Diceros bicornis minor: one gene and its partner. The protein of the gene in region 2 purifies or fractionates together with the protein of the main gene of each other region. This does not show direct contact. Links are inferred from orthologs where the notes say so. Each region holds a gene or a part of one and is shown on either strand. Other genes may lie near its edges. The genes, in order: FAM20B and GOLPH3.

Evidence for each region.
Region 1: the proteins of GOLPH3 (region 2) and FAM20B purify together in Homo sapiens (affinity purification with mass spectrometry; 3 studies listed by BioGRID and IntAct, with this or other methods). This does not show direct contact. The link is inferred for Diceros bicornis minor from reciprocal best matches to the Homo sapiens genes GOLPH3 and FAM20B.

Annotation. Positions count from the first base shown.
Region 1 is NC_080743.1:87,898,242-87,913,471, reverse strand, and holds the start of FAM20B (glycosaminoglycan xylosylkinase), read left to right. Parts: upstream 1-7,924; 5' UTR 7,925-8,009; intron 8,010-8,283; exon of another isoform or gene 8,284-8,681; intron 8,682-8,711; exon of another isoform or gene 8,712-8,768; intron 8,769-12,137; exon of another isoform or gene 12,138-12,229; intron 12,230-15,230. UniProt on the Homo sapiens protein: Responsible for the 2-O-phosphorylation of xylose in the glycosaminoglycan-protein linkage region of proteoglycans thereby regulating the amount of mature GAG chains.
Region 2 is NC_080759.1:36,127,190-36,142,087, forward strand, and holds the start of GOLPH3 (Golgi phosphoprotein 3), read left to right. Parts: upstream 1-7,541; 5' UTR 7,542-7,787; coding exon 7,788-8,009; intron 8,010-14,898. UniProt on the Homo sapiens protein: Phosphatidylinositol-4-phosphate-binding protein that links Golgi membranes to the cytoskeleton and may participate in the tensile force required for vesicle budding from the Golgi.

The DNA of each region.
Region 1 (15,230 bases), on a different chromosome or scaffold from region 2:
CCAAAATAAATGAAGCAAAAACTGATAGAATTGAAGGGAAAACAGACAATTCAACAATAATAGTTGAAGACTTCAGTACCTACCCCACTTTCAGTAATGGATAGAACAACTAGACAGAATATCAACAGGGAAATAGAGACTTGAACAACACTATAAACCAACTAGACCTAGAGATCTGTAGAACACTCCACCCAACAACAACAGAATGCACATTCTTCTTATGTGCAATAGGAACATTTTCCAGGATAGTTCATGGGTTAGGCTATAAAACAGGCCTCAATAGATTTAAAAGAACTAAAGTCATACAAAGTATGTTTCATAACCATGATGAAGTGAAATTAGAAATCAATAACAGAAGATAACTTGGGAAATTCACAAATATGTGGAAATTAAACAACACACTCATAAATAACCAATGGATCAAAGAATTAATCATGAGGAAAATTAGAAAATGAAATGCAAACAAAACTTATAAGATGTAGTTAAAGTAGTGTTTAGAGGGAAATTTATAGTAAATGCCTCTATTTAAAAAAGAAGAAAAATCTTAAATCAACATAAGATGAATGGATGTGCAGGGTCCTAAGGCAGCTGAGAGATGGGGCACTTCGTTTTTCAGTAAAGATGACATTTTAAGGGATGAGTAAAGCTGGAGGAAGGTGGGAAGGGAATTCCAGACGGAACAGCTTGGGTAAAAGCATACAGGCATGAACTAGCATGGGGTATGCAGGAGAACTCGGCATGCTTTAGTATTTCCAGAACGTAAATTGCGTGGAAAGAGAGGCAGAGAAGGCAAGTGGGTCCCAGCCCTGGAGGTTTTGTATGCTCTATCAAGAACCTTAGGCTTTATTCTCTGGGTCACTGAAAGGTTATAAGCAGGTATATAATATGGCTCAGATTTCCTTTTAAAAAGATCTTTCCAGATGTAGTTTTCTACATGGATTTTCTAGAATAGATTGCAAAGGGTTGATGTGGGAAGGTTGGAGACAGAGGCCAGAAGAGAGATCACTGCCATAATCCAGGAGGGAGAAAAAGGAGTTTGAACACAAGCAGTGGTGGTGAGGCTGGAGGGAAGAAGCTGGATTCAAGGAGTCTTTAGGAGCCATGACTGGCAGCTCTTGATACTGACTGGAGGTGGCAGTGAGGAAGATGAGTCTAGGACAACTGGTGTTTCTGGCTTGGGTGGGTGGTGGTCACATTAAATGAAGACCAGAATACCAGAGGAGAAACAGGTTTGAGGGTGTCTTGGGCATTGCCTTAAACTGTTTTTCTTTTTCCTCCTTTTCCTGTGCGTTGCCATGGAGGAAATACTACCGTGGTATTGCCATCTCTGCCAGGGATTTGCTAACCTCTTTGAAAACCCTTGCACACTCCCCTCATGGGTCCCCTGCACTCCCTTCCCTGAGAGACTTCCCTGCCCATATGTCATGCCTCCCCATTTCTCCCACAAGGCCCCCCAGGGACACACCAGGCACGGCAGCAAGGTGTTGGCTCCTTTCTCCCTGGGCTCATAGTCCCACTGTGTCGAATATCTTGTTCTCCCCAGTTCTGGGCCACCTCCCTGTTTTATGAACATCTACCTTCTAGTATGGAGAAACTGCAGGCCTGAGCACCAGATATCCCCCATGCACGTGTTTTATTTGGCCTGCCCTGTATTTAAAATGTATATATTCTTAAATGTAAATGCCTTTGAAGGACAGACCAGTTTCTCTGTTCCCTCACCACTTCTTATTGTCTCACTGTTGGCCTGCTTTGCTCATTTCCCTTCATGTTGGCAGCCACAGGCTTCCAAATGTTTAAGCTTCACTGGAAAGAGAGATGCAGGGAGTCTGGTCCACCAGGGGCAGCATCTTGACCAGCCAGGTCATTGGCTTCCCTGTCACATCTTTCTCGCCCTTACTCACTGCAGGACAGGGGTTTGAAGAGAAATGACTGGTTTCCTGTAGAATGTCTTCTGAAAGACCAATCTTACCTCCCCCTCAAAAATAAAAACAATTGCCTGTATATCAGACTGAGTCATATGAAATTGCCGATATTCAACTAGTTTTGCCCTATAAAGATGGCAATTTCACATAGTTCAACCTATTAACATGATCCTGGCTTAGTCACTAGTAGAACAGTGGTTCTCAGCCTTGGTCGCAAATTAAAATAAGCTGGGAGCTTTTTAAAAAATACCCTTGTTAGGACCTCCCCCTAAGAAAATTAAATTAGAATCTTTGAGGATGGTGGCAGGCATAGGGATTTTTTTCATTTTTTTTATTGATGTCATAATAGTTTATAACGTTGCGAAATTTTAGTTGTACATTATTGTTTGTCAGTCACCATATAAATGTGTCTCTTCACCCCTTGTGCCCACTCCCAGCCCCCATCCCCCTGGTAGCCACCAAACTGTTCACTCTGTCCGTGTGTTAGTTTATCTTCCACACATGAGTGAAATCATGCGGTGTTTGTCTTTCTCTGTCTGGCTTATTTCGCTTAACATAATACGCTCCCAGTCCATCCATGTGGTTGCAAATGAGAAGATTTTGTCTTTTTTTATCGCCGAGTAGTATTCCATTGTGTATATATACCACAACTTCTTTATCCAATCATCAGTCAAGTGATGCTTGGGTTGCTTCCACTTCTTGACTATGGTGAATAATGCTGCAATGAACATCGGGGTGCATAAGCCTCTTTGGATTGTTGCTTTCAGGATCTTTGGATAAATACCCAGTAGTGTGATAGCTGGATCATAAGGTATTTCTATTTTTAATTTTTTGAGGACTCTCCGTACTGTTTTCCATAGAGGTCGCACCAGTTTGCATTCCCACCAGCAGTGAATTAGGGTTCCCATTTCTCCACAACCTCTCCAACATTTGCTATTTTTTGTCTTGTTGATTATAGCCATTCTAATGGGTGTAAGGTGATATCTTAGTGTTGTTTTGATTTGCATTTCCTTGATTAGTGATGTTGAACATCTTTTCATGCGCCTATTGGCCATCTGTATATCTTCCTTGGAAAAATGTCTGTTCATGTCAGGCATGGGGATATTTTTAAAGTTCCTGTGCAGCCAGATTGAGGACTACAGCTTTGGCACACCCCTGGGTCAGTCACTAGAGAGGCTCAAAGAATCTTCAGCTTAACTCCTTAGCACATTACCTGTAGGTGATAGGAGCTGAGTTTGAAGAACCCAGAACTTCCATGTGGTTGCAATGACCTCATGCAGTAATTAATGCTATTACTTCACGCATTAAATATGAGTTAATAAATTAATGAGTTAATAAAAACTAAAGAGCTTCCATCACAGCAAAAAAAAAAATTTGTATTAAATGTGCATGTAGTACCATTCTAAGCATATTACAAAATGACCACCTTGTGGGAATCAACAATCTGGAATTTGCAATATTGTCTCTGCCAAACCCATTGAAGAGCCCCTTGGCATTAGAGAAAGACACAACGAGCAGGAAAATGTTCAAAGACATGGCCTTGGGCATTCATGCAAGAGCATGTACCACAATAAAGTGTACATTTTGGGGTGATTAATTAAAATGACTGCAGCCTACATGGCAGTTAAGTGAAATACAGCTTTGAGAACTACTACTCCTTTGCATTCTTAGTAATTCTAGGAGTTTCACTTTCCCCTTAATGTATTTTTCTTTTTGCTTTTAATGAGCAGATTAAAAAAAAAAGTAACTGAATAAATAGATAAATATATTTTCAGAATAAAAGAGAAAATAGCCCATATTACATTTTGGGGTGATGAAAATGTCCTAAAATTAGATTATGGTGATGGTTGCTCAACTCTGTAAATATAATAAAACTATTGAATTGTACACTTTAAACAGGTGAGCTTTATGGTATGTAAGTTATATCTTAATAAAGCTGCTATTTTAAAAATAAACATAATACTAAGGTGGAAACAAATAACTGAAAGATTTCCACCACTTTCAGAATATGCATCCTGAATTTCTTGGCAGAGAAGCTGGGTGTGTCTGTGTGCTTTATAATGCTGTCCCTGGGACTTGAGAGGTTTGCTCAGACGGCATTGACAGAGATGCCACGTGAAGGGTTAAGTGGGCAGTCCTGATGCTGTAAGCAAGGGATGGGCTAGGAGTAGCTCTGCAGAGCCTGTGGCAAAATGAAAGAAAGGAGTCTGCCCAGTTGGGAAAGAAATGCAGAAGCAGGTCCACAGAGAGCCCCATGCAGAGAAAAAACCTGCCCAAGTGCAGTGGAGGCAGAGCACATGCTCCTGGAGGACACGTGCGCTCCTTCACTCACTGATGCTCTGTCACCCTCTCCCAGGCTCTCAGCACCTTGGAACAGGGTGAGCTCTCCTACAGGTCCCTTCAACTTTCTTGATGTGGAATTAATTAGTTTCAGTAGGATCCATCAATGTGGGTGTATTCTCGTGTGTGTGTGTGTGTGTGTGTGTGTGTGTGTGTGTGTGTGTGTGTTTTGTGTTCGTGTATGCAGGCACCTTGAGACAATACTCCCCTTATACCTCGGGATTGCTGAGCTGTTATTTGAGTCCTGGGGCTTGACAAATTGGCAGATACTTAGAAATTCCGAAACAGTCTAAGGAAAACACAATGACGAAGGGGCCAAGAAAGAAACTTCAAGGGCTCCTGATTTCCCATGTCTGCAGGACCTATTCTCCTAAAACTTCTCTTTTAAGTGTTGTGTTTACCATGGGCCATGTGAGCCCTACGTGCTAGTGTAGTACAGTGTTGGCACTACAGAAGATACAGATGCAACGAAAACACTCTTTCAGCCCCAAAGGGTTTACACTCCAGGGGAAGGGGTCAGACATATCCCCAAAGACGTCAATACAAACCATACCGCAAAAGAGGGACAAAGTACTGAGTCTTAGAAGCCCAGGAAAACACACACAGTTGGAAAGGTCAGGAAAGGCTTCAACAGCAAATGGCCTTTGGGAGATATGTAACATTTTCACAGGGGTGGGGTGAGGGGGGCCCAACTGTGGAAGTGGGGGAAGGGGGTGCCCTCAGACAGTAAGTGAGCCCTTTAGGGCAGAGGGTCAGGAATTAGCAGAAAATGGGCCTGGAAAGGTGGACTGTTACTGGAAATGCCAAGCAGAGAAGTTGCCATTAAATTCTGTAGGCTGTGGGCAAGCCACTGGAGGGTTCTGCACTGGGGCTACTAACCAAGATTCCTCTGCTGAAGACGTGTGTGCACCGCCCTCGGCTGGAGGGGGACAGCCAAATTCCTGTTCTGCTTTCAACTCACGGCACTTCAACACTTCAGTGCAGAAAAGGTAGTCTACTTGAGGCACTCCACGGGTGGAAATAAAGATGAAATAAAATCAGTCTGTGTCTTTAACAGCTTTGCAGTTTGGGAACAGAGAAGAGAGGAAAAGGGGGAGATTAGACAAAGATACCTAGAACCACAATACATCACATGAGTTGCGAAAGAAGCATCATGGAAGCCTTGGCAAAGTGCTCAGACTTTCCCAATGGGGGCTCTGCCTGACCTCCCATCCTATATCTCAATACTAGACTGTGAGCTGCTCAAGGATGAGGACCAGGCCTTCTTTGTCTTTGCACAGCCTGGTCTAGTTCAGTGTCTGGCACTGAGTAGACATCCACTGAAGGAACGAAGGAAGGGAGGAACACAGGGAGGGAGGGAGGGAGGAAGGAAGGAACAAATTACCTAACTTTGGTTCACATTGTTCGTCTCTTCTTCCACCCATGTTTTGCTCACCTCAATCCTCCCTCCCTGACAATACCAGCCCACACTATCTTCCTGGACCCTGATTCTTTCAGTGATCACACAGTCTGTGCTGCATAATTTAAGTCCCCCGTATTCCTTGCAGCTGCTTCCTGTGTGCTAGTCATGTAAACTCTTTGAAGGCAGAGTGCCCTTCTTAAATGATTGCATCCCCTACAACACCTAGAATACAATGACTATTGATTGGGTGGAGAATAAAGCCCATTACAGGAGGAGAGGGCAGAAACTAATATCCTGGAGTTTTGGGCACTGTGCTGGTATTGGGCATACATTCACAAAGAGGCTGGATAATGTGGCCTAGTGAAGAGAAAACTGGAGGACAGAACAATTTTGCTGTCTGAAAGCCCTTGACACAGAGGCCCTGAACCTTTGGCTCTCCTTCTCTGAGGACAGAAGAGGAGAAAGTGTGTCTGTCCTGCAGCATGTGAGGGGCATGGAAGGATTTGATGGATGTAAAACTAAGCTCTGGAGTGGGTTGCCTAGAAGGCCATGAACCCTCCTCTCTGAATGTCCTTAAAGACAGGGGGGATCACTAGGAAGCTGGCAGGATGTGCTGGCCTCCTGAGCAGTGACAGTGGGACAGTCCACCCTCACTGTCCTTGTTAGAGTTACAGGCAAGAAAGGAGAGTCCCTTGGAGGTAAAGCGTCTTACAGGAAGTGTTGATTTGCCCTTTTGCTTTATGATCTCCTGATGTAGTGAACAAGGTTGAAGGAGATTAGCTGACTGCAGGCAGACCAATGTTCCTGTGTAGAGAAATAAGGAAGACTCTCATTACCATCCAGCTAATTTTCCTAAGAATTATGTGTTCCGTGGTCAGAAAACGACCCCCAAAGCTACGTGCAGAAAAAGGCTGATACAACTCCTCCTGCATTTGACCGTGTGCTCCTTCTTGCAGTGATTAATGTTTTCTGCAGAGGGGCTGCCTCCCTAACTAGACTGTTGGGGGCCAGTGTCAAGCCCAATTATTTCTCTAGGATCTCCTGATAGTACATGCTCAATAAATACTCACAGGAATAATAACTAACATTATACAATAATTTACAAGTACTGTCCCAATCTAGTCCTCACAACAACCCTGTGAAGTAGGTACTATGATTAACTCCCGTTTTCCAGATAAGGAAATCGATACTCTGAGAGGTTAAGTGGCACACTCAATATCATGCAGCCTGTAAGGAAGAGTTCTTTCCACTACACTCTGCTGCTTAAATGAACTATATAGCCTGAAAAAAGTGTCAGCTCGGTCTTTCCCCCATCACATATCTTATCCCATGGAGCAATGTGCATTATAATATTTCAGGGAGAGGTATACTAAGTCCAAGCTTTGTATATGGTGAATAAACGAATGGATGTATTATACAGCAGATGCTCTGTATGCCTTCAGTGGAAAGGAAACAACTTAAGGGGTGGGAGAATCTTTCATTCAAACTATTTATAGGGAGTCTACTGGGTGTCAGGCATTGGAGACCCAGACACAACTCTCCTGCCCTCATGGCACTTACAGTCCATTGCAAGAGACAGATGTTAAGCAACTATTACAGTAAACTAACCACAGTTTTGTTAAATGCTACTAAACGTAGCAGGGAGCTTTGCTCTGAATCCGAAGGAAGAGCGATTTGCGCTCACTGTAGGAAAGTTGGCCTCTTTTAGGCAAGGAGGATACATTTAGACAGGCAGAAGCAGAGGCAAATTAAAAGGGTAAAAGAAGGAAGGAAATTGCTTCTCACAAACAGAACTTGACCTATGGGACCCCAACTCTCCAGTCCCGCTGCCTGGTTGCCTACCTGCTTAAGAAAATCGGGAAGGAAAAAGCAACGGCAAGACGAAAGAGACAGGTCACTTTATGTAAGCTGGTGGGGCGGGGCGGCAGAGAGAAGGCGAGTCGTGAGCCGGCGCCGAGAGTGTTAACCGGGCATGGCCCTGGACGGAAAGGGTTAAGGGGGGCGGTCCAGAGCGGGCCCGGTAGGCCCGCCCATCGGAGGGTGAGGGTGGGGCCTCGCAGGAAGAGCCCTTGGATTGGTCGCGAGGAAGGCGTTACGCTAGGACGTTACCAACAGTCGGGGGCCGCGAAGGCGCGGGGTGGGTGTGGGAGCGCCGGCTGAGCGCGGGCAGAGGTGGCCGGGGGATGGCCGGGCCGGGGGAGGGCGGGAGCTGCAGTGGTGGCGGCGGCGGCTGGGGGCGGTGAGCGCGGCGTGGGGCTGCCCCTCCCCGGAGGCGGCAGGGGCCGCCGGGGCCGCGCCGCAGCGCACCGCGCGGGCGGCCATGGAGCGAGCCTAGGGCCCGGCAGGTGAGCGGCGTGGGGGCGGGGGAGGGTGCGCGACCCCCGCCCTCGGCGCAGCGGGCTGGCGGGCGGGGCGCGGTGCGTGGCGCGCGTCGAGCGGGGCTGCCTGGGGGCGGGGCGCCGGTGCCCTGAGCGGTCCTCGAGCGGCCGCGGGCGGCTCCTGGACGGTGGCGCCGCTCCCTCAGAGAACCGGCCCGGGCCGTGCTCCCTGCCTCGCTGGCCCCGAGGCGGTTCCTGCGGGCGGTCGTGGCTGAGGGGACGTGGCCTTGGCCGCCGCCTCTACGGCCAGCCTGAGGCGCGGGCCTTACCTGGGGGCGCGTCAGGCCGCCCGGGGTCCTTTTAGCGACCAACCCTCGCGCCCGGACGCCGTCCCCTGAGGCGACTAGCCCCGGTGCCCACCTCGGGTCCTGCCGAGCGCCCGCGGCGGCGGCCCGGGGAGGATCGCGGGCTCACCTCGTAGCCGCGAAGCGCGAGTGACCTGCAGGCCCGAGGCGGGAGGCGGGGTAGTTCTGCCCAAGGGTTCGCGGTCGCTCGGGGTCTTGCACCCCGCGCTCGCCGTCGGGCCAACTTAAGGAAATGATACGGTTGTCCACAGTGGGTTGCGCTTCAGATTTCATTTCCGGGTGTGATGGCCCGGCGATTTAAGAGCGAACCGAAACGTTGCCATTAATAATGAATGTGAGCACTTGTCAAGCTGCGTCCTTGGTTGCGGGATCTGACAAGAGTTTCATTCTAATCAGGCTTCTGTTACCTGGAAGTCTCCTGGTAGGCAGAGAAGGGACAGAAAGATGTTGGAGAGAAGGTGGAGGGGACAGGGCATGGTTGGTGGTTATGGAATTATTAGTACTTTAAATGGCCATATCATTATTTGGATGGGTGAGGAGTTTATAATTTGGGAAAATGAGAGATGCTTGAAACTGACTTGAGTTGAAGACCAGGTATCAATATCGTTCCCACCCAACCAGTTTCCCTCTGGAAATGTGATTTCTCAGCTTGAAAAGAAGGAGTAGTAGTGTGGGATCTTTTAGCTTTTAAGTTGTAGGACTTTATAAATATGTAATCTGGTAGTTAAGATTGCTGTTTACTAACTATTCCTATCCTCCATATGTTGTAAATTAATGCATACATTTCATTAGGGTTGATTTTTTTAAGGTAGGTTAGAGACCTCAGTGTGCTCATGTATGGCAAACATTTCTTGAGTTTATGCAGGACCTTTGAGCTAAGCCTTAGAGCATTTCCACGTATATTGTTTTTCATCAAGACATGTTTTTGAGAAACTGAGGTAAAGTGTTAAAGATGCTAAATTATTTGCCTAGAGCCAGTCTAAGGTAGATTTAAAATTAAATTAATGTTTTGTGTTAAATTAATAACTTTTCTGAAGTTTATGAAAATGTTGGACTTTGGCCTCTAGAACCATACAGTGGACTCAGTCAACAGGATTGACTGTACTTACCAGAGTTTGAAAGTACTTATCAAAGGAGAAGAAGGCACAAGCAAGTAATTCAGACTTGCAGCCTCGCTCACAGTAAAGTGCAGTGATAGAAATGGAGGTAAAAGATGGTCAAATCTTGGAGCTCACAGCTTTCCTTCAGTGTGGCTGGTGAAAATGTGACATTGATTTGTTCAGTTTGTTTCTCTGGAATTAGTAGGAAAATAGTGAAGGGGAGGAAGACTATACCCACTCTGGGTCCTTTCTGGCTGGGCTACAAATTAAATTGACATAAGACTGAATAGCAGGAGAAAATCAGACAAAGCTTTATAACCTGTATACATGGGAGAAACCAGGGAAACTGAGTTTCTTAACAAAATGGTGGAGGTTCTCTTCTTAAATAGATTTAGATAAAGACAAAGGAGGATGTTGAGGTGCGGGGGAGTCAGTTATGTGTGATTACCAGAAAAGCACAGTAAGGTTATTATGCAGCCTCACCTTCTGCATTGATAAGTTTCTAGAGATGAGATCATCTCCCCCTCCCCCACTCTTCCCAGTACAGAGAGGGAGATACTTTTACAAATGGAGATTTCCCTTACAAATTTAAATGTTTGTTAAACAGAACTTTGATAAGAATGGACTTAGCAAGAACCCTCCTATCTGTCGCTTTTCGGAGTAAGTTTGGGGGAAAGTCAGTTTCTTTCAGAGAAAATCAAGGTAAAGAGACGTGTTTTGAGGTGGCCAATTTTCATCTTGCACAATAGCTATGATTTGGTTAAAGAATGAAAACACATGCCTTGCTTTTCGTTCTGGCTACTTTGAATTAGGGAACAAACAAATTACTTTTTCTATCATCTAATCCTTTATGTCATAGAATTATTTTATGTTGAGTTGATAATTCTTTGATTTTTAGTCTATTCTCTTGATTTCCAGTTGTAGACGCCAACTCTTTCACACAGCCTTAAAGCTTCTGCTTTTTATCTTTTCTGAATTTTAGAATTCTAAGGGAAATTTTCTTTGTTTCTATTACTTGCAGGGCAGACTTCAGCTTCCTACACTTTGTGTGACGATCATTTCAGTGGTGTAAACCCTGAAGCCAGATACTTCAGCTCTTGACTTGAGAACTTTTTAAAATAACAGCCACAGTGGTTGTCCCTTGGTGATTGCTACAATCTCATAATAGAGGTAGAAAGCTGCTCTTTGTATTCTGTGGCCACAGTTACAAATAATAAAAAGGAGACAGTCTTCTGAAGCTGATGTCAGGTCACTCTGGGATTAAGTGCCAGGTGGTTTTGTAGATTGGAGTGGGAAGCACAGTTACAATGAGACACTACAGTTTGTTGTAATAGTGATGATGTACTTTTCTCTCTGCACCTAACAGTGCATAGCACATAGTAGGTGTGCAGGAAATATTTGCTTGTTGAATGAACTATTGGAAAACAGTATGAGGGAAGGGGAAATAGTCTAATGCATATACTCAATTGTTTAGTTCTTTTTGTAAAAAAAAAATAAAAAAGGCCAAGAAAATGTGTTTCAGATTCCTGTTGAAAATATGCTATTGCAACGATTATCTGTAAAGGGTGTTACTTGCTGGAGCTGCCTTGAGATTTGATTCTGTGATTATATGGTGTTCTAGCTACCCGCAGCCTGGGAGCAGCCTCTGGTGCTCTGGTTGGGTGCAGCTTCACAGACTTGCTCCTGCAGCCTTCTCTGGCTAGGCTAACTGAGCAGTTGGATTGATAGTACTTTTGCATTAATAGAAGAACTAGAGCTCTTGGTAATGGCCACACCAGTATCATTGAACCTGACCGTCCATCTTCTCCTCCCTCATATTGTGGGAGGGAGAGGGGAGTTATCCCTCCTTTAAGTGCTTCTCCAGCAGCTCCTCATTCCACACCTACGTATCTCTCCCTCTTTTCCTTCCTTGAGCTGCCTTTATAACCCCCAAGAACTAATGAATTCATTAGCACAGACCTGGGATACAGAACAGAAGACCTTGCTTTGCAACTGAAATCAGCTTCTGACCAACTTATAATGTCCTGTGACTGCTAGAGCCGGCTAGGAAAGAATATAATGCAAAGATCTCACTTGTGATTTTGTCTTTCTTATCCAAAAGCAAAAGAGGAAAGGCCTAGCTCGGGACCTGATGAGTCTTGGGGGTGCATCTATCATCCCAGTATGAGATAAGAAAGGGAGGCTGATGCAGAAAAAAGATACAGAGCTTTGGTGTTTGTTTGGGGGTCTGTACTTTCTGGCAAGGTAACACCTTATGGAGGGAAGGTGTTAATTTGGGTACATTATCAAAGGAGGTCAAGGAATAGGAAATTACGAATGTGTAACAGAGCCCAGTACAGGGTGAGACAGTGATGTCTATCATTCAGTGCTCTCAAGTGCTGTCTTTCTGCCTTGTGTATATAGCAGTGCCTCATTTATCTACTATTGTTAGGCAATAAGGTATGAGCGACAATTCTTATTTTAGCTATACTTTTTGTGGAAAAAATTCTACATGTATTATATGCTTTGTTTGCTTTTTAAACAATATAGTGTAACCTTTCTTTATTGACTCGAGGTTATGATTACTGGCGTCCATTACCAACAGTAATTGAGCAGGGCTTTGAGGTGATTGAAATACATAGGTTGTTTTCCCCCTCTGCTTTTTTAATTCTTGCATCTGCTTTTAATAGTCAATCTGTCTCTTCTTTCAGAAGTGGGAAAGCTGTACTTGTGCTGTTGTTAGTGTCCCTGCTGCCCTCTTTTAAATTTGCAGCTTCTGATCTTCTGTGGAATAGCAACCCAGGTAACTCTGCTTCCTGAAATTGAATGTAAAACAGCTAAATAGGCTTTGTAAGGGTCTGCCTGCTCTTCTCTATTAGTGGATGAACTTTGTGAGCACTATTTTGGCTGCCCAAAGCCCTTTTGTTCATTTCTTGTTTCTCATCCTTGGTTTATTTATTTATTTTTATTTATTTATTTTTTTTGTGAGGAAGATCAGCCCTGAGCTAACATGCATGCTAATCCTCCTCTTTTTGCTGAGGAAGACCGGCTCTGAGCTAACATCTATTGCGAGTCCTCCTCCTTTTTTTCCCCAAAGCCCCAGTAGATAGTTGTATGTCGTAGTTGCACATCCTTCCAGTTGCCGTATGTGGGATGTGGCCTCAGCATGGCCGGAGAAGCAGTGCATCGGTGCGCGCCCAGGATCCGAACCCGTGCCGCCAGTAGCGGAGCGCGCCCACTTAACCGCTAAGCCACAGGGCCGGCCCTCATCCTTGGTTTAGATAATGAACTTGCACTCTGTATAGGTGTGTTTATGTTCCTGTGGTTCTTTTCTGTCGAAAAAAGAAAATAATATGGAAGTACTAGTGTTGGTTCTTGTTTCAGAAAGCATTGCCAATAATACTTGAAGATCTGGTTCCAGCCCTGTCTTGTATCATTCTTGGGCAGTGTCTTGGACCATCTGCAATCTTCATCTTAGCATTTTCAGATTGTCTTTACTCCCAGTCCCAACCAATGCTAGGAATCAGATTGGCACTAGCAGTTACCTTGAGAGGTGGAAGCGGAGTATAAAGAAGGCAGCAAGTGAAAATTGAGTATATAAAATTGGTATACATATTTGATATTTCTGCCTTTTTTACTGTATATCTGAATTCCTTACGGGACTTAGTTTCCCTATATCTGTAAAAAGTGGCCATCTTTAAACCAAAGAGCTGAAGAAATTCTTAGAACTGTAAAGGTCTCTCTCCCTGGCTCTTCACTCCTTTTATTCAACAAGCATTTATTGAGTACCTCTTATGTGTCCTGCACTGTGCTAGCTTACTTGGAAGTACAAAGAGGAAACATCTCCGCTGTTCTGAGGAACTCACAATATAGTAGAGGAGACAGGCATGCCAAAAAATACATATGTGTATGTGCATGTATATGTGTGTGTGTGTATTTATATTCATATTATAACAAAAGGATCATGCGTGGAGCCACTCAGCTAAAATTCAGCATAGACCTGGTTGGGGTTCTATTATTTCTAAAGTAATCTGTGGCCTGTCACCTTGACACATCCTAGAACATAAGGTTAAAAATGTGAGGTGTTAGGGCCGGCCCGGTGGCGTAGTGGTTAAGTTCTTGCGCTCCGCTTCGACAGCCTGGGGTTCTCAGGTTCGGATCCTGGGCGTGGACTGATGCACCACTTGTCAAGCCGTGCTGTGGTGGTGTCCCATATAAAGTAGAGGAAGATGGGCACGGATGTTAGCTCAGGGCCAGTCTTCCTCACACACACAAACAAAAAAAGTGAGGTGTTATTGTTGCATAAAGCTTATATACCTTTCCAAGAACTGTAGTGAACTGAACAGTAAAGATGGAAAACATATGAAAATCTGAAGGAGAATGTTATAGTATTTGAAATTCCATATTTCCACACAACATAGGAAATACATTCTATAATACAGCTTTAAATGGTGATTATATACTGACAATTGAGCAGTGAAATACCTAAAACTTAGGAAGGTTCATTATACCTGGCCCATTTGAAACAGAATGCAAATTCTTAGGCATTTTCAGAAAGTTTCTAGATCAGTGAACACTGCTTCTGTTGGTTTTTTAGAACAAATTGCACTAGCAGTATGAGCTGAAGATTTTGTTTTCATTTTTCAAGGAAGAGGGTTATAGGGTTGCCCTAAATCAAGGTTTAAATGGGACAGATTGCAGGAAGTGAATTTTTTTCAAAGAGGGAACAAACGCTATTTATTGCCTGTTTTATTTTTACTCTCACCCCCAGGAAAAAAGGCTGCCTTAATGCTTCATTAATGCCTAGTGATCGTTTTAGTTAGCTTCCGTCACAGGGAACTGTTAGAGGATTTCATGTAGGGGATTCTGAGTTTACAGATATGAATAAATGTTTAAATGGAAGTGAAAACAGTGAGGGAAATGTAACACTCAGACCAATTTGGACTATATGGGAATTAGATTTTCTGTACCTGTAAGTTAAGATACTCTTAAGGCTTATCTTAAAAGCTTTGGAACATGCAAAGCTGTCATCTTTAAAACACAGAGCTAATTTTTCCAAACTGAAGAATATTGTCAAGGGCATTCTATCTGAGCCTTTTTCCTGAAATAGAATAAGTTCATGCTTCCCATCTGTTTCAGTTACATTAAATGTGGTAGAATTGAACTTTGTAGAGAAGAGAAACAGGTCGGTCAAATTAGTGATGTTGGGGAAGAGGGAGAATCCCCTTCTGCCCTTTCCTTTAAGGTTCTTATGGCTGGCCAAATAATTAAAAGACAGGTTAGCAGGAGAAAATAATACTAAGTTTAATAACATGTATACATGGGAGAAACCACGGAAACTGAGTTTCTCAACAGAATGGCAGAGATTCTCATCTTAAATACCAACTTCAGCTGACGACAAAGGAGGGTGTTGGGGGTGGGGGGAGTCAGTTATGGGAGATTACCAGAAAAGCACAGTAAACAAGAATAAGGTTATTATGCAGATTTAAGGCCTCACTTTCCACATTGATAAGTTTCTAGAGACGAGATCATACCCCCTCTTCCCGGTACAGAGAGGGAGATACCTTTACAAATGGAGATTTCCCTTATAAATGTAAATGTTTGTCTGGCAGCTCTTTGCAGGGCCACCTAGAGAATGTGGCCTGGGAGAGACAGAATTTTTGATAAGAGGGACTTGGTGCCTTTCCTATTGTAACATCTATTTTACATTATGTTATAGCCATCATATGATAGTAGCTCCTTCCCAAAACAGGTCTTCTATGTTAAATTCTTTAGGCAGTTTGGAGGAGGTCAAATGTCTGTCA
Region 2 (14,898 bases):
GATATTCTTTTAATGATGTTCAATTTATCTCTTTTTTTCTTTTGTCACTTGTGTTTTTTGTGTCATATCTAAGAAACTATTACATAATCTAAGATCATGAAGATTTATGCCTATGTTTTCTTCGAAACATTTTATACTTTTTAGGTCTTACATTTAGATCTTTGATACATTTCAAGTTAATTCTTTTTTTTTTTTGAGGAAGATCAGCCCTGAGCTAACATTGGTGCCAATCCTCCTATTTTTGCTGAGGAAGACAGGCCCTGAGCTAGCATTTATTGCCAATCCTCCTCTTTTTTTTCCCCTTTTTCTCCCCAAAGCCCCAGTAGATAGTTGTATGTCATAGTTGCACATCCTTCTAGTTGCTGTATGTGGGATGCCGCCTCAGCATGGCTGGACAAGCGGTGCGTCGGTGCACGCCCGGGATCCGAACCTGGGCTGCCAGTAACGGAGCGCGCGCACTTAACCGCTAAGCCACGGGGCCAGCCCCTGAGTTAATTCTTGTATGTGGTGTAGGGTAGGGGTTCAACTTCATTTTTTTGTATGTGAATAAACAGTTGTTCCTGTACCACTTGTTGAAAAGACTATTCTTGGGGCTGGCCCGGTTGGGCAGTGGTTAAGTTTGTGTGCTCTACTTCGGTGGCCTGGGGTTCGCAGGGTCGGATCCCTGGTGCAGACCTACACACCACTCATCAAGCCACGCTGTGGTGGCATCCCACATACAAAAAGTGGAGGAAGATTGGCACAGATGTTAGCTCAGGGTCAATCTTCCTCACCAAAAAAAAAAAAACACCACTATTCTTTGGCCATTGAATTGTCTTGGTACCTTTGTTGAAAATCAACTGACTATAAATGTGAGAATACATTTAGAATGTAGTCACTTTTTTTTTGGTTTTAAAGTCTATTTTGTCTGATATTAATATAGCCACTCCAGCTTTTTTATGTTTGCTGTTTGCATGATATATATTTTTTCATCCTTTATTTTCAACCTATTTGCATCTATGGCATAATAAATTACTATAAGTGCACTGGCTTAAAACAACACACATCGGGCCGGCCCCGTGGCTTAGCGGTTAAGTGCGCGCGCTCTGCTGCTGGCGGCCCGGTTCGGATCCTGGGCGCACACTGACGCACTGCTTCTCCGGCCATGCTGAGGCCGCGTCCCACATACAGCAACTAGAAGGATGTGCAGCTATGACATACAACTATCTACTGGGGCTTTGGGGGAAAAAATAAATAAATAAATAAGTTGAAAAAAACAACAACACACATTTATTATCTCACAGTTTCCATTGGTGGGGAGTTTAGCCAAGCTTAACACCATCCTCTGCTCAGGGTCTCACAGGTTGTAATCAAAGTGTCGGTTGGGCTACATTCTCATCTGCAGTTTGGGGTCCTCTTCCAAGCTCATTCATGTTGTTGGCGTACTTCAGTTGCTGTGTTTCTAAAGCTGAAACTATCAGCTCTTAGAGGCTACCTCTCTCCATAAGCAGTTCACATTATGGCTGTTTTCTTCTTCAAGAGAATGTCTTGAGAGTCATCAAGAGTTGTCTCAGCTGACTCAAGTCTCTGTCCTTAGGGAAGGGTTAGATCTGCCTGATTATACTCAAGGGACTGCCTGATTATGCCAGGCCCACCCAGGATAATCTTTCTTTTGATTAACTCAAAGTGAATTCGTTAGGGACCTTAATTACATCTGCACTATCCCCTCCCTTTTTGCCATATTCTAATAGTTAGAAGCAAGTCACCAATTCTGTCCGCAGTCAAGGAGAGGGGATTACACAAAAGCGTAGATACCAGGGCAGCAAGAATCATGAGGGCCATGTTAGAATTATACCTATGACAGATGGGGACAAGGGTAGAAGTGTAACTTCTCAATGTATGTGTCTTTTATCATTTTGATTTTTGAAGTATGTGAATTTATTACTTATTCAAGAATAAAATAAAAATTTAAATCTTTGAAACTTTGCAGTTGTCTCAGTGGATTTTTGTCTTTTATGACAAAGACCACTTTGTGTAATTGATTTTACCCTAAAATCATTGAGTCATTATGAGGTCCTGGTTAGGAGCATGGACTCTGGAGCCAGGCTGTGGAACTTTAGGCAAGATATTTAATTTCTTTGTGCCTCAGTTTCCTTTTTTGTAAAATGGAGCTAATTATAGCACATAATCAGGATATTGTGAGAACTAAGCGAGCTAGTATATTAGCATCACTCAGACGCTGCTGCTTGATAACACGAAATCTTAGTGGCATACAAAAATAAGCATTTATTTCAACAATCCTGAGGTGACTAGAATGGCTCTGCTGATCTCAGCTGGATTTGGCTAGGCTTGGCTCCGGACTATGGATTCCTTCTGCCTGCTCTGTTCTCATTCTTTTGGGATTAGCAGACTACAGCAGAAGAAGTGTTTTCACCACCATGAAAGAAGCTCTTCTCATAGCAGTAGCCAAAACCACAAGAGGACAAGCACATCTGCATACGCCTACTTCACACCTCTGTCTGCATCACACATCAGCTAACATCCTATTTGCCAAAGACAGTCACGTGGCAATTAGCAAGGTCAAAGCTTGGACCAAGCCCAAAGTCAAGGGGTGATGAAGCATACTCCATCTACTACAAGGCCATGGCAAGGATGTGGTGTATAATATGACTACAGGGGAGTGAAGAGTTGTGATCTATATAGTTCAATCTTTATTAACCTGTAAGACACTTACAAAATAAATGCTCAATAAATCTTTGCTATCATTGTACTAGATTGAAAAAAAAAGAAATAATATTGTTGAATGCCTCTGAAAGGTTTGCTGGTTATTTCAATAATACTGCTATGCTTCAGAATAAAGCTGGGATAGGAATGTAAAATGGTACAGCTACAGCCATTCTAGAAAAGAGTTTGGCAGTTTCTTAAAAAGCTAAACGTACTTACCATGTGACCCTAATTGCACTCCTGGGTATTTATCTTGGAGAAATGAAAATATGTCCACACAAAAACATGTACATGAATGTTAATAGCAGCTTTATTTGTACTAGACCCAAATTGGAAACAGCCCAAAAGTCCTTTAATGGATGAATGAGTAAACAAACTGTGGAACATCCATATCATGGAATACTACTCAGCAATAAAAAGGAACAAACTATTGATACACAGCATTTGGATGGATCTCAAGAGAATTTTGCTGAGTGAAAAAAGTCAACCTCAAAAGACTACCTAGTGTATGAGTCCATTTATATAGCATTCTCAAATGATAAAATTATAGAGATGGAGAACAGATTAGTAGTTGCCAGGGGTAGGAGATGAAGGGGGGACAAGTGTGGGAGATGGATGTGACTATAAAGGGGTAACATGAGGGATCTTTGTGGTGATGGGAAAATTTTGTGTGTGTCTTGATTGTGGTGTTGGTTACACAAATCTACACATGTGGTAAAATTGCATAGAACTACACACACACACATACACACACACACACATACACACATATAGGTGCATATAAAACCCATGAAATCTGAATAATGTCTGTGGATTGTACCAATATTCCTTTCCTGGTTTTGGTATTGTACTATAATTATATAAGATGTTACTGTGACCAGGGAACCAGGCAAAGAAAGGGTTACTGAGGATCTAGTCAACAACTAACACATCTGTCACATGTTTTTCAGACAAGAAGAAACTATGTGTTTTGTTTTGCAGAAATTGATGTCCCCATTTTGCAGATGTTGCTATCTTGCAGAGAAACTCACACGTTTGCAGCAAGACCCCTGCAAAATGTTCCAGCTCCAAGTGTCCTAAAGTTACCTTAATTCATTAGCACTTTAAATTCTCCTCCTCTGGGAGGGTCCAAACAGCCATTTTCAGATCATGCGATGTATGTGATAACATGTTTACCTGCTATGCATGTGACCTAAACAAACACAGTTGTTACAGAGTTATTACAAATAAACTTGTTATATTCTGCTCTCTTGTATATAAAGTCTCCACTGGCAGTCAGCTTGGGGCCACACGGCTTTGGGAGCTAAATCTTGTCTTGTCCGTTGCTTGCACAAGCAATAAACGTTTTCTTCACCTACTTTTGCTTTGTTTATGCTTTTCGACCCCATGCTCACCATTGAGTTTGGTTACATTACCATTGTGGGATACGGGTTAAGGGTACACAAGACCTCTCTGTACTTATTTTGCAACTTCCTGTAAATCTATAATTATTTCAAAAATTTTTTTATTAAATTTTGAGTTATGGTGAGAAAGGCTTCTCTTCAAGGTTATAAAAGAGTTCACTCATAGTTTTCTTCTGGTACTTTTATAGTTTCATTTTCTAGGTGTTTTGAAATTTTTATCAGATGAAAACAGAAAGCCCCTGTACATCCAACTCCCTACACAACAGCTCCTTTTGGAAGTTTCATATGCTCCTCAAAAACTCAACTGACATAAACTCATGCAAACTTGGTCAGTGCCCAGTGGTCCCTATCTCAGTGAATGTCTTTCTCATGCACTCTTACACAAGTCAGAGGTGGGTGTCAACCTTAAAAACTTTTCTCCCTTATATTCCACTGATTCCATAGTCAATCTTCCATTGATTTGTGTCAATTTTACTAAGTATCTCCTGAAAACATTCACATCTCACAGTCTCTTCTTCCATGATCAAAGTTAAGTTACCATGAGGTCCTATGGGACTACTGCAAAAACTAACTGGTTCCTGTATTCATTGTGACCACCTCCTTGGTACATCTGGTGAGCTTTTCAAAATAGAAATCTAATATTACACACCCATGCATTCCATCCTTCCCCACATAGAGCATTTAAAAGTCCCTTTGATGGCTTCTCATTGTATTGGTTGAAAACAAGACCAAAATCTTAAAATGGCCTCACAGCACTGCATGATTTGACCCTTGTCTGTTACTATCGCTTTTGACAACACTCTCCTCCTCAGCCCAGCCAAAATGGTCTTCTATTTGATTCTCCACCATCCCATGATCTCTCCTTGCCATAGGGCCTTTGCACATGCTATTTGCTCTTGCGAATGACCAACCCCAATTTGGTTTAGTTAACTTCTGTTCATTCTTTGGCTTACTACTTCCTCAGAGTTGCTTTCTTTGAGTCCCGGATAAAATATAAGATTCTTATATATCTGAGAATACATGCTCTCATAGTACTGTATTTCTTCTGTATTCAAATTTATACGTTAATTATTTATAACGTTTCTCAATTTATACGTTAATTAGTGTGGTATCGGTGAATATCTGTGCCTTCCACTAAGCAGCCTCATGGATGCTATGACTGTGTCTCTTTTGGCTCCCTATGATATCCTCATTGCTTAGCACACTGCCTGGCATACAGAAAATATGTATAAATATAAATATTTGTTTAATGATTGAATTAAGGACCTAGGTTACAATGCAGGCTTGCAATTTGTTAGATATGTTATGTTAAGCAGATTACTTAACTTCTCTGAACCTCAGTTTCTTCACAATTAAGATGAGTGTTTTAGTCTGGGACTCCCAGAAAGCAGGGTTTAAGACAAAGGCTTTTGTGCTACTATTTTGTTAGGGAGTGCAACTCTTGGGAACAGGAAGGGAGAGGGGGAGTGAGGAGTGAAGGGAGGGAGAGCCATACTAAGAATGTGTTGTTGAGCTTGTTGCAGCTAAGTGCCACTGAGAAGTTGTATAAAGGATCTCAGGGGCTGGCCCGGTGGCTCAAGCCTTTAAGTGCACGCGCTCTGCTACCTCGACTGGGGTTCCCTGGCCCAGATCCCGGGCGTGCACTGATGCGCGGCTTGGCAAGCCATGCTGTGGCAGCGTCCCATATAAAGTGGAGGAAGATGGGCACGGATGTTAGCCCAGGGCCAGTCTTCCTCAGGAAAAAAAGAGGAGGATTGGCAGATGTTAGCACAGGGCTGATCTCTCCACAACAGACTGTTATGACCTAGTCACACCTGCCACATTCTATGCATTTAAAGAGAGTCACTAAGTCTGGCCCACCCTCAAGGAGAGGGGAATCAGGCTTCACCTCTTGGGAGGAGGAGTATCAGAGAATTTGTTGACATATTTTAAACCCACCAGGGGAGGGGATGGGGAGAACAACTGGTTGAACAGGGGCAGGGCTGGAAGGAAGATTTTCACTACATCTATCTGCATACTCCTTGAACTATGTATTTGACTATGTTAAATAATAAATTAATTACATTTCCTTTAAAAAGAAACATTTTTAAGCTATTTGGTAAAGAACTGGGAGAGACATGAAGGAAAAAAGAGTTGAACAGGATGTGAATGGGGGAAATTGGTTGAGCTGAGGTTGACCTTTGCCCATAGACAGGAAAAAGGGAGGGACTACTTTGTGCTCACCCTGCCCCCTTCTCCCCACTCCAGGAGACTTAGCGTTCTCCCTTTCCAGGGCTTGGGGTGGTGATAGCGAGCGGCTAGTAGGAGTTCCGGATAATGGGTTTGGGGAGGGGGAAGAACTGTAGCCAGAATGTTCTATGGAACAGTTTTACGGCGTGCGTTTACCATTTATCGTTTATTATGGCTTAAGTCCTGTTTACAACAATATATTTTTCCTATCTAAACCATTCTGTAGCCACAGCCTGTGGTCTTTGTTGATTTTAAATAATATTGGATGGCATACAATGCTATTGCTGCATAATGTTATACGCTCCACCCTTCTGGCCCTCCAACCCCCCCCTTTCAAGTTCCATATCTATTCTTTAACATGCACAAACGGTCAAGTACGCCAAGAGGATTTAACCTAGCAATTACATTGAGAGAGATTTAATGTGTACAAAGACGTGGCATGAAACCTAACAGGTTTATTGTATCTATAAAAAGTTTGTTCAGGTCGAGTGTACTGACGTGGGCAGTACAAACTGTACTCGCGGCGCCCCGGTCACTTTACAAGGCGGGAGGCGAGGAAAAAAGTTTCGCGAACAAAACTATTCAATTTGTTCTAACCTTTCTTTTCATGCAGTAATATACCCAGAAAACACTAAAAGTCCACTTTCAAGCCATTTAAACGCAGTCGCTCCTTCGGAAGGGTCAGAGGCTACGCGCAGAGCGCGCGCCCTCTCCTCGCCCCGTGGCAGCGAACAAAGTCCTTCCTGTGGCTGTGGGGACCTGGACTCCAAGCCGAGTGCCTGGAAGCCCGGCCGAGGCCAGCCCCGAGGATGCTGGCGTCTGGGGTGCTAAGGACACAGCTCGAGGCCGAGCAGAGGGCCCCCTCGCGAGGCCACGGCTGCCCCGATTCGTGAGGGGCCTCACCAGTCTCCGGCTGCAGCCCCGGGTCTGGGGGTGGGGCGGAGGGGGAGGCGGCCTGAGGAAGGACACGTCACCGGACGGAGGCCGCGGCGCCGCTGGCGAAGGGATGCCAAGCCAGGGGCGAGCGCCGGAGGAAACCCGGGCCTGGGGAGGGGGTCGCGGTCCTCCGGCCCCCGCCCTGGGACCCGCCCGCCGCTTCCGGCGCCCTCCGGGTCCGCCCCGCGCTCGCGGTGCCACATCCTCCGGTGACGTCAGCCGGCGCCGCCATATTGGAAAGGCGCCGCCGCCGCCGCCGCCACCGCCTCCGCCTCGGCGCTCGGGCTGCCTTGGGGGCCGCGACCGCAGGAAGGAAGGGTCCTGTCTCCCGCCCCGGCGACGGCCGGCTCGCCCCCCTCGCCGCCACCCGTCTCCCCATGACTACCCGCGGCCCCGCTGCTGACAGCTGTCCCCCCAGCGCCCGGATTTAACACGGAAGCCCGGGTCGGGGGCCGCGGGGGGGCGAGGAGGGAGACCCGGTAGGTCCCGCGTCCCTCTCGGCCCGGCGCCGGAGCCATGACCTCGCTGACCCAGCGCAGCTCGGGCCTGGTGCAGCGGCGCACCGAGGCCTCCCGCAACGCCGCCGACAAGGAGCGGGCGGCGGGCGGCGGCGGCGGCGGCGAGGACGACGCGCAGAGCCGCCGTGACGAGCAGGACGACGACGACAAGGGCGACTCCAAGGAAACGCGGCTGACCCTGATGGAGGAGGTGCTTCTGCTGGGCCTCAAGGACCGAGAGGTACGGGCGCGGCGGGCAGGGCGGGGGCGGCCGGCGCGGGCGCGGGGCCGGGCGCCAGGCGGGAGCCCGGCCTCGGCTCCGCGCGGCCGTCCTCCGAGCTCGGCGCTCGGGAGCGCACGGCCGGCCCGGTGCCTCCAGACCCTCCGCGCGCCGATTGCTTGGATGTTTCCTTCCACCTCTCCCAGTCTTGTCTGTCCTGTCGAGTCCCTGGCAGTCTATATCTTGCTTGCTTTTCCCGCGTGTTTCACCTGTGTAGACCCCAGGGTACGTTTGCAGACTGCCCGTTAGCGTGCAACGCCTGGAACCACCAGGGCCCTGAACTGCTGGGTTTTGCAGGTTTTAGGATTTGGGAGGGCTCCACGGATCTGCTTTTTGGGGGCTTAAAAAAACAAAACAAAACACTTAAGGTGTACTGTTTGGAATTTTGCAAAAATTTCGGTGCAGTGGTAATGGAGGCAAAAGTTATTTTACTGATAAAAGTGAGGCAATTCTTAATGAAACCGCCTGGAAAATGACTTTCTAGGTAAACTTGCTTTGGGTGAGAGATTATTAGAATTGCTTTACGTTTTATCAGTCGGCTGTTCTCGAGAAAGTCTTACTATCTTAAGGAAGGGTTTTTCCATGGGGTACTCGAAATGCTAGATTTGTGATTTAATGAAAGGCCTCAAAGCTTTGGGTAGGTTCAAGTTGGAATAGATAGTTTGTGTTCTGGCTTTGAAAACGGTTATTTTCACCCCAGTGTCTTGTGAGAATTTTCACACATAGAGAAGTTGGGAAAAAAGAATGCTACAGTGGACACCTGGGTGCTCACTTCTTAGGTTCTATAATTAACATTTTGCTGTATTTGCTTTACCACTTATCCACTCATCCACAAAAATGATTATTTTTAAAATCAAACTTGAGGACGTTTAGAAAGATGGATGGATATTCTATAAATTAGGTACCATGAGGTAGTTTCAGAAACTTGTTTTATCCTAGTATGGAAACTACCGACAGCACATTCTGAGTCACACACAAATTTAAGTTTTGTCTGTCTTGATTTTTAAGAAAGATTTCCCAACTCACAAAGGCGGGCAAAAAAATTTCATCCTTATGAAACAACTCTTATTTCACTGAAACTTGTCAGATATAGGCTAAAGTTTATCTTGATAGAAATGTCTAGAGTATTTGCAATATCCAGGTTTCCTGTTTGCTCAGATTTTAATAACGATCACCTTGAAAAAAGTGGAAGTCCCTCTGGCTGTGAAAAGGGCCCAGTATCTGTTTATTAATCACTGAGTTATGATGAAAGCAGGCTGTGTGTGAAATTACTTTTTTTTTTTGGATGAAAAAGCAAACGAGATGTATAATGTCTTAGAAATGTGATTTTTAGAAAGTTTTCAATTTGCCATTTTAGGCTTCACAATTTAGAATCTTGGTAATAAACATTTTTCTTTGTCTTTATCTTTTTCCTTTGGGAAAAAAGTTACATTTTAGAGAATTAAAAAAAGCAAAATGAAGAGAACAAGTCATTCATATTCTTGAGTGAACATTTTGGTTTATAGTTTTTGATGCTTTTCTATATGGATACCGTACTGTGTGTAAAACTAAAACTTAAAAAAACCCCTAAAACTAGCCTTGGCTTTCTGAGTCACATTAAGTGAGGAATTATTGTGAGAAAGTACCTTTTTGCTTTTTCAAGTATGTGTTACTTTAGGTGTTTAAGCTAAAGCATATTAACATGCTATTTTTCTGTGATTGGTTTTCATGAAGATGATCTAAAGAATTATTTCTCAAAGCTTGATGGTATTCACAAAGTTTAGACAATTTACAGTTCTTTGGTGGCAGGTAATTGAAACCATCTGTTGTATTTATTGCGTGTCATGGGTCACTATACTTTGCCATGTCATGGCCAACATCCAGACACTAGCTAATTCTGAGCATTTTTTGCTGATTTCAACAACTACATAGAGAAATTTATTTTCCCCTTTTGCAAGCAAGTCAGGGAGTTGGAGTGGAGAGGGGTGAAGTTGAGATTTTGCGTTGCTTTAGATTTTGGTTTTAGGGAATAGCCTATATAGTTTTTCCTGTCCTCACATCATTACGTACTAATCATCAGTCCTGTCAACTCATCTACTCATGTGTTTTTCTCCCTGGGAGATTCCCCACCCCCATCACTCTTTAGGGGCAGGAATTACTCTCTCACCTACAGTCTAGGCATTTAGGCTTGAATATTGTTAGATTTTAACTTAATTTGATATTAAGTAGTTCCGAACTTTAGCCGTAGTATATATGTTAGTACATTCACTGCTTTAACTTTTTATTATTTTAACTTAGCATACATATTTGTAATATTTGGGTGCTTTTAAGATATTTAGAAGCTAAACTTTATGGTTAGGCAGGTCATTAATGCTGGACACATTTTGTGTATATGTGAACTAACCTTATTTGAAATCAATACAATCAAGAAAAAATTTTAAGACATTGTGAAATGGTGGAGTTAATTTTACTTTGACTTTTTAAAAAAGCTGAGACTCATTCTGGTTTTGTAAAAATATTTTTTGTTGAATAATAAACCTACAGAAAAGTGCACATATTATATGTGGTGAATTTTTACAAACTGGACACACCTGTTAAACCAGTGCCTAGAGCAAGAAACAGAAATGACCAGCTCTCCTGAAGCCCCACTTGATCTCCTTTCCAGTCACTGCCCAGTCCTCAAGGGTCACCACTAGCTTGACTTCAGAATTCAGCATAGAATGATTCTGCCCATTTTTGTACTTTCATTTGTGTCTTACTTTTGTTTAGCATTGTTGGTGAGATTCATCTACATTGTGTGAGGTTGTCATCGTTCATTCTCATTGTCTTATCAACTTACTTTTAACACGTTGATAATCTACAATATTTAAAACGTTACTTTGACTTATATCCTGAATCTGCTTGTTCTCCCCTTTTCCCCTTTACTGAATAGAAGGCTCAGAAGGTCTGGCTTCAGATTACACATTAGGGGTGACTCTAAAGTCATCATGAGAGAGTGTTTCTTTTTTAATTTTAAGTACACATTTCTGATAATTTTCCTTTCTGGCTTTTATTAAAACACAGATGCCTGGGCCCCTCGGGATTCCAGTGCTCAGTATGAGTGGAGCATCAGTGACATAGATGTTGGAGTAAATCTTCTGAGGCTGCAGCAAGGATGGCAGGATAGGTTTAAACTTGAATTCAACTTCCAAATAATTAGCAAGACTTCTATAATCTCCCTTGTGTTTGAGGGGGAGGGACAGCAAATGAGCCAGGAATTTTCCTTTCCCCAACTATTTGATTTTTCCATAGATAGCTCCAGTAGTCAGCGTCTTCAGAAGACCTCATTGAGAATTACTGGTGTCATATGCTTTTAAATGTCTTCATTGGTGGCAAATCTTAGTGCTTTAAGTTTGGATTTGATTATTTTAAATGGCTGGGTGTAATTTAGAGTGTGCCTGTGGAACAGCAGAAGTGGAAAGAGGCATGTGTAGTCCTGGCCCGAGGTGTATCCTTTGTTTTACATATCATTGCAGCTCTCTAAGCCTCAAAGTTCTCCTCTAAAATGGAGAGAGAAATAATCCTTTCCCATGGTGGTTCTGGTTGGACTCTTGCAGACATTTACTGTTTTAGTCTCCACCATGTCTGCCCCCGGTTTTGTCTTGCTTTTAAGGCGTTCCCCATTGTGTGGGGCCCCAGGGTGTCCTATTGAAGCATTTACCCCTTCCCTCTTGTGGTGCAGCCAGACCTAGACTTGTCCAATCAGATGTTTTCTCCTGGGGCTTTGGGTCTTGAGAGCAGAACAGGCTGTGGGGGTTTTTCGAGACCTCCTAGAGTGTGGAAGTCCCCCCTTATCCACGGTTTTGGTTCCCCCTGGTCAGCTGCAGTCCAGAAATATTAAACGGAAAATTCCAGAAATAAGCAATTCATAAGTTTTAAATTTCGTGCCATTTTGCATAGTGTGATGAAATCTCACTCTGTCCAGAATGTGCCTCATCCCTTTGTCCAGTGTGTCCACACCGTATGTGCTACCTACCCCTTAGTCATTTAGTAGCTATCTTGGTTGTCAGTATATGGTTACAGTATATTGTTATAATTATTCTATTTTATTATTAGTTATTATTGCTAATCTCTTACTTTGCCTAATTATAAATTAAACTTTATCATAGGTATGTATGTACCTATCCCAAAAGGGATTGGTTCCAGGATTCCCCCCTCGGATACCAAAATCTGCAAGTACTCAAGTTCTGTAAATAAAATGATGTGTTATTTGCGTATAACCTATACAGATCTTCCTGTATGCTTTAAATCATTTCCAGATTACTTATAATACCCAATACAATGTAAATGCTTTGTAAATAGTAGTTATACTGTATTGACTAGGGAAAAGTGACAAGGAAAAAAGGCTGTACATGTTCAGAACAGACAACCATTGTAGGCCTTTCGATCTGCGGTTGGTTGAATCCATGGATGCGGAACCCTCGGATATGGGGGGCCCAAGTGGGTAGGAAAAAACATAGTATATATGGGGTTTGGTATTATTGCAGTTTCAGGCATCCACTGGGGATCTTGGAAGGTATCTCCTGCGGATAATGGCGGGGGGACTACTATAGTTTCAGTGTGTGGATCAGACTGTCCTCTGACATGGTTCTTTGAGCTTTTTTCTCCCTAGCCCATTGATGCTGTCTTTTCCATCCAGATTTTCTAGGCACTTTTTAATTTTGTAAGCCTCAAGAGTTGTCAAGTAAAGTCCCTTTTTCAATAGCCAGAGTCAGTTACTAATGTTTCTAATGCTTCCAGACGAGAACGCCAATGCAATAATTTCGCTCTGTATCTTGAAAAATAAGTATGCTTGAGCTGAATAATACACACTTAGGGTAAAATAGTTAAGTTTAACTAAAATAAGGGAACTGACTTTTATGTGGCTTTTAAATTGGCTCCAAAGATGGGTCCCAAAGATATGTTCCATTTTTGGAATAAGTTTCCCAAGGTCACTACTTTGAAATACAGGGCTTATCAAGATGTGTAACTTTGGGGCCGGCCCCGTGGCTTAGCGGTTAAGTGTGCGCGCTCCACTGCTGGCGGCCTGGTTTCAGATCCGGGTGCTCACCGACGCACTGCTTCTCCGGCCTTGCTGAGGCCTCATCCCACATACAGCAACTAGAAGGACGTGCAGCTGTGACATACAACTATCTACTGGCGCTTTGGGGGGAAAGAAAATAAAATTAAAAAAAAATAATTGCTAAAAAAAAGATGTGTAACTGTGTGTGTAAGGAAGGTTGGCCCTGAGCCAACATCTGTGCCCATCTTTCTCCATTTTGTATGTGGGACGCCGTCATAGCATGGCTGGATGAGTGGTGTAGGTCCATGCCTGGGATCTGAACCCATGAACCCTGGGCTGTGAAAGCAGAGTGTGCAGACTCAACGACTGTGCCACTGGGCTGCCCCTGGTTTTTAATTTTTATTTTTATTTTATTGAGGTCATGTTAGTTCATAACATTGTGAAATTTCAGTTGTACATTATTATTGTTAGTCACCATATATATGTGCCCCTTTAGCCTTTATGCCCACCCCCCAACCCCCTTCCCCTCTGGTAACCACTAATCTGTTCTCTTTGTCCATGTGTTTATCTTCCACATATGAGAGAAATCATACAGTGTTTGTCTTTCTCTGCTTGGCTTATTTTGCTTAACATAACGCCTCAAGGTCCATTTTCCATACGTGCAGTGGTATGCACCATCTCTGTATATCAAATCTGTTAATGAGAAATTCATTCAACAAATATTCAGAATTTCAAGATGTGCTAAGATTTTAGTAATTTAAAGTACAATAAAGGCTTCTGAGTTTTGGAGTTTTGTGATTCCTTTACTAACTATTCCTTTCATATTTTTGAAAGATTTGAATTTTCATTTATTTTTTTCAGGTGTATTTAAGAGTAGGTACACGAGTATGAAATATATAGGATCTCAAAAATTAGTTCTCGGGTTCATTAAACCACTTGATTGTACCTTTTAAACAGGATTTTATACTATTGAAATTACTTTTCAGTGCTTTGGGGTTCTTGCACAGCGGGGCCAAAATGTTTACTGATTTATCTTGTAAATATCAATAATATTACTATCTGAGTGTTCCTGTATGGATCATTTGAGATTGTCTTTTAGAATTATACTTTGAAATTACTTTGATCAAATTTTGAAATATTTGGGGAGTTTTTCTGATATTTAAAGAAAGAAACTTATAGTAAGTATCAACTTATATATGTTTCAAAAAACCCTAAATGCATCATACTTTTGTCCTATGTCGTGTTAAACTTTTAGCCCGACTCTCCTTTGTGTCCAAGCAAACTTTTCCCTACTTTCTGTGAGCATAACTTTTCTGCTATTAATCAGAGTAAATGGCATCATTCAAAGTTGCTGTAGTCTTTGTTTAGGGGATTTTATTTTTATGTGAGTCTCCTTTGAAGCAGCTCGGAGAGCTTGTGTTTGTCCCCGTGTTTCTTCCGTTTAATAAGTGTAGTGACAAGTGCTAAAAGTGGGACCTATACTTCATTTTGAAATTGATGTTTGTGGCTTTAGGTTTCTCTAGTCAAAGCATGAAAGACTGTAACCTGTTTCAATAGCATTGGACAGTATTATAATGTAATCTAGTAAATATTGAGGTTTTAATTTAGGTATTACAGGTATATATAGAAAACAGGCTGTTTCTCTTCTTACTAGTTTTTTGGCAAAGCTCTAATCTGCAAGAATATGATTAATATTAAAGCGTATTACATTATCAGAAGGAGTGCTTCTGGTAAATGTATTTTTAAGCTTAAAAACATTTTAAATGAAAAAAATTAACTATTTTTTAAACTTACACTGTATTTGATTTTCATTTAATGGAGAAGTTCTTA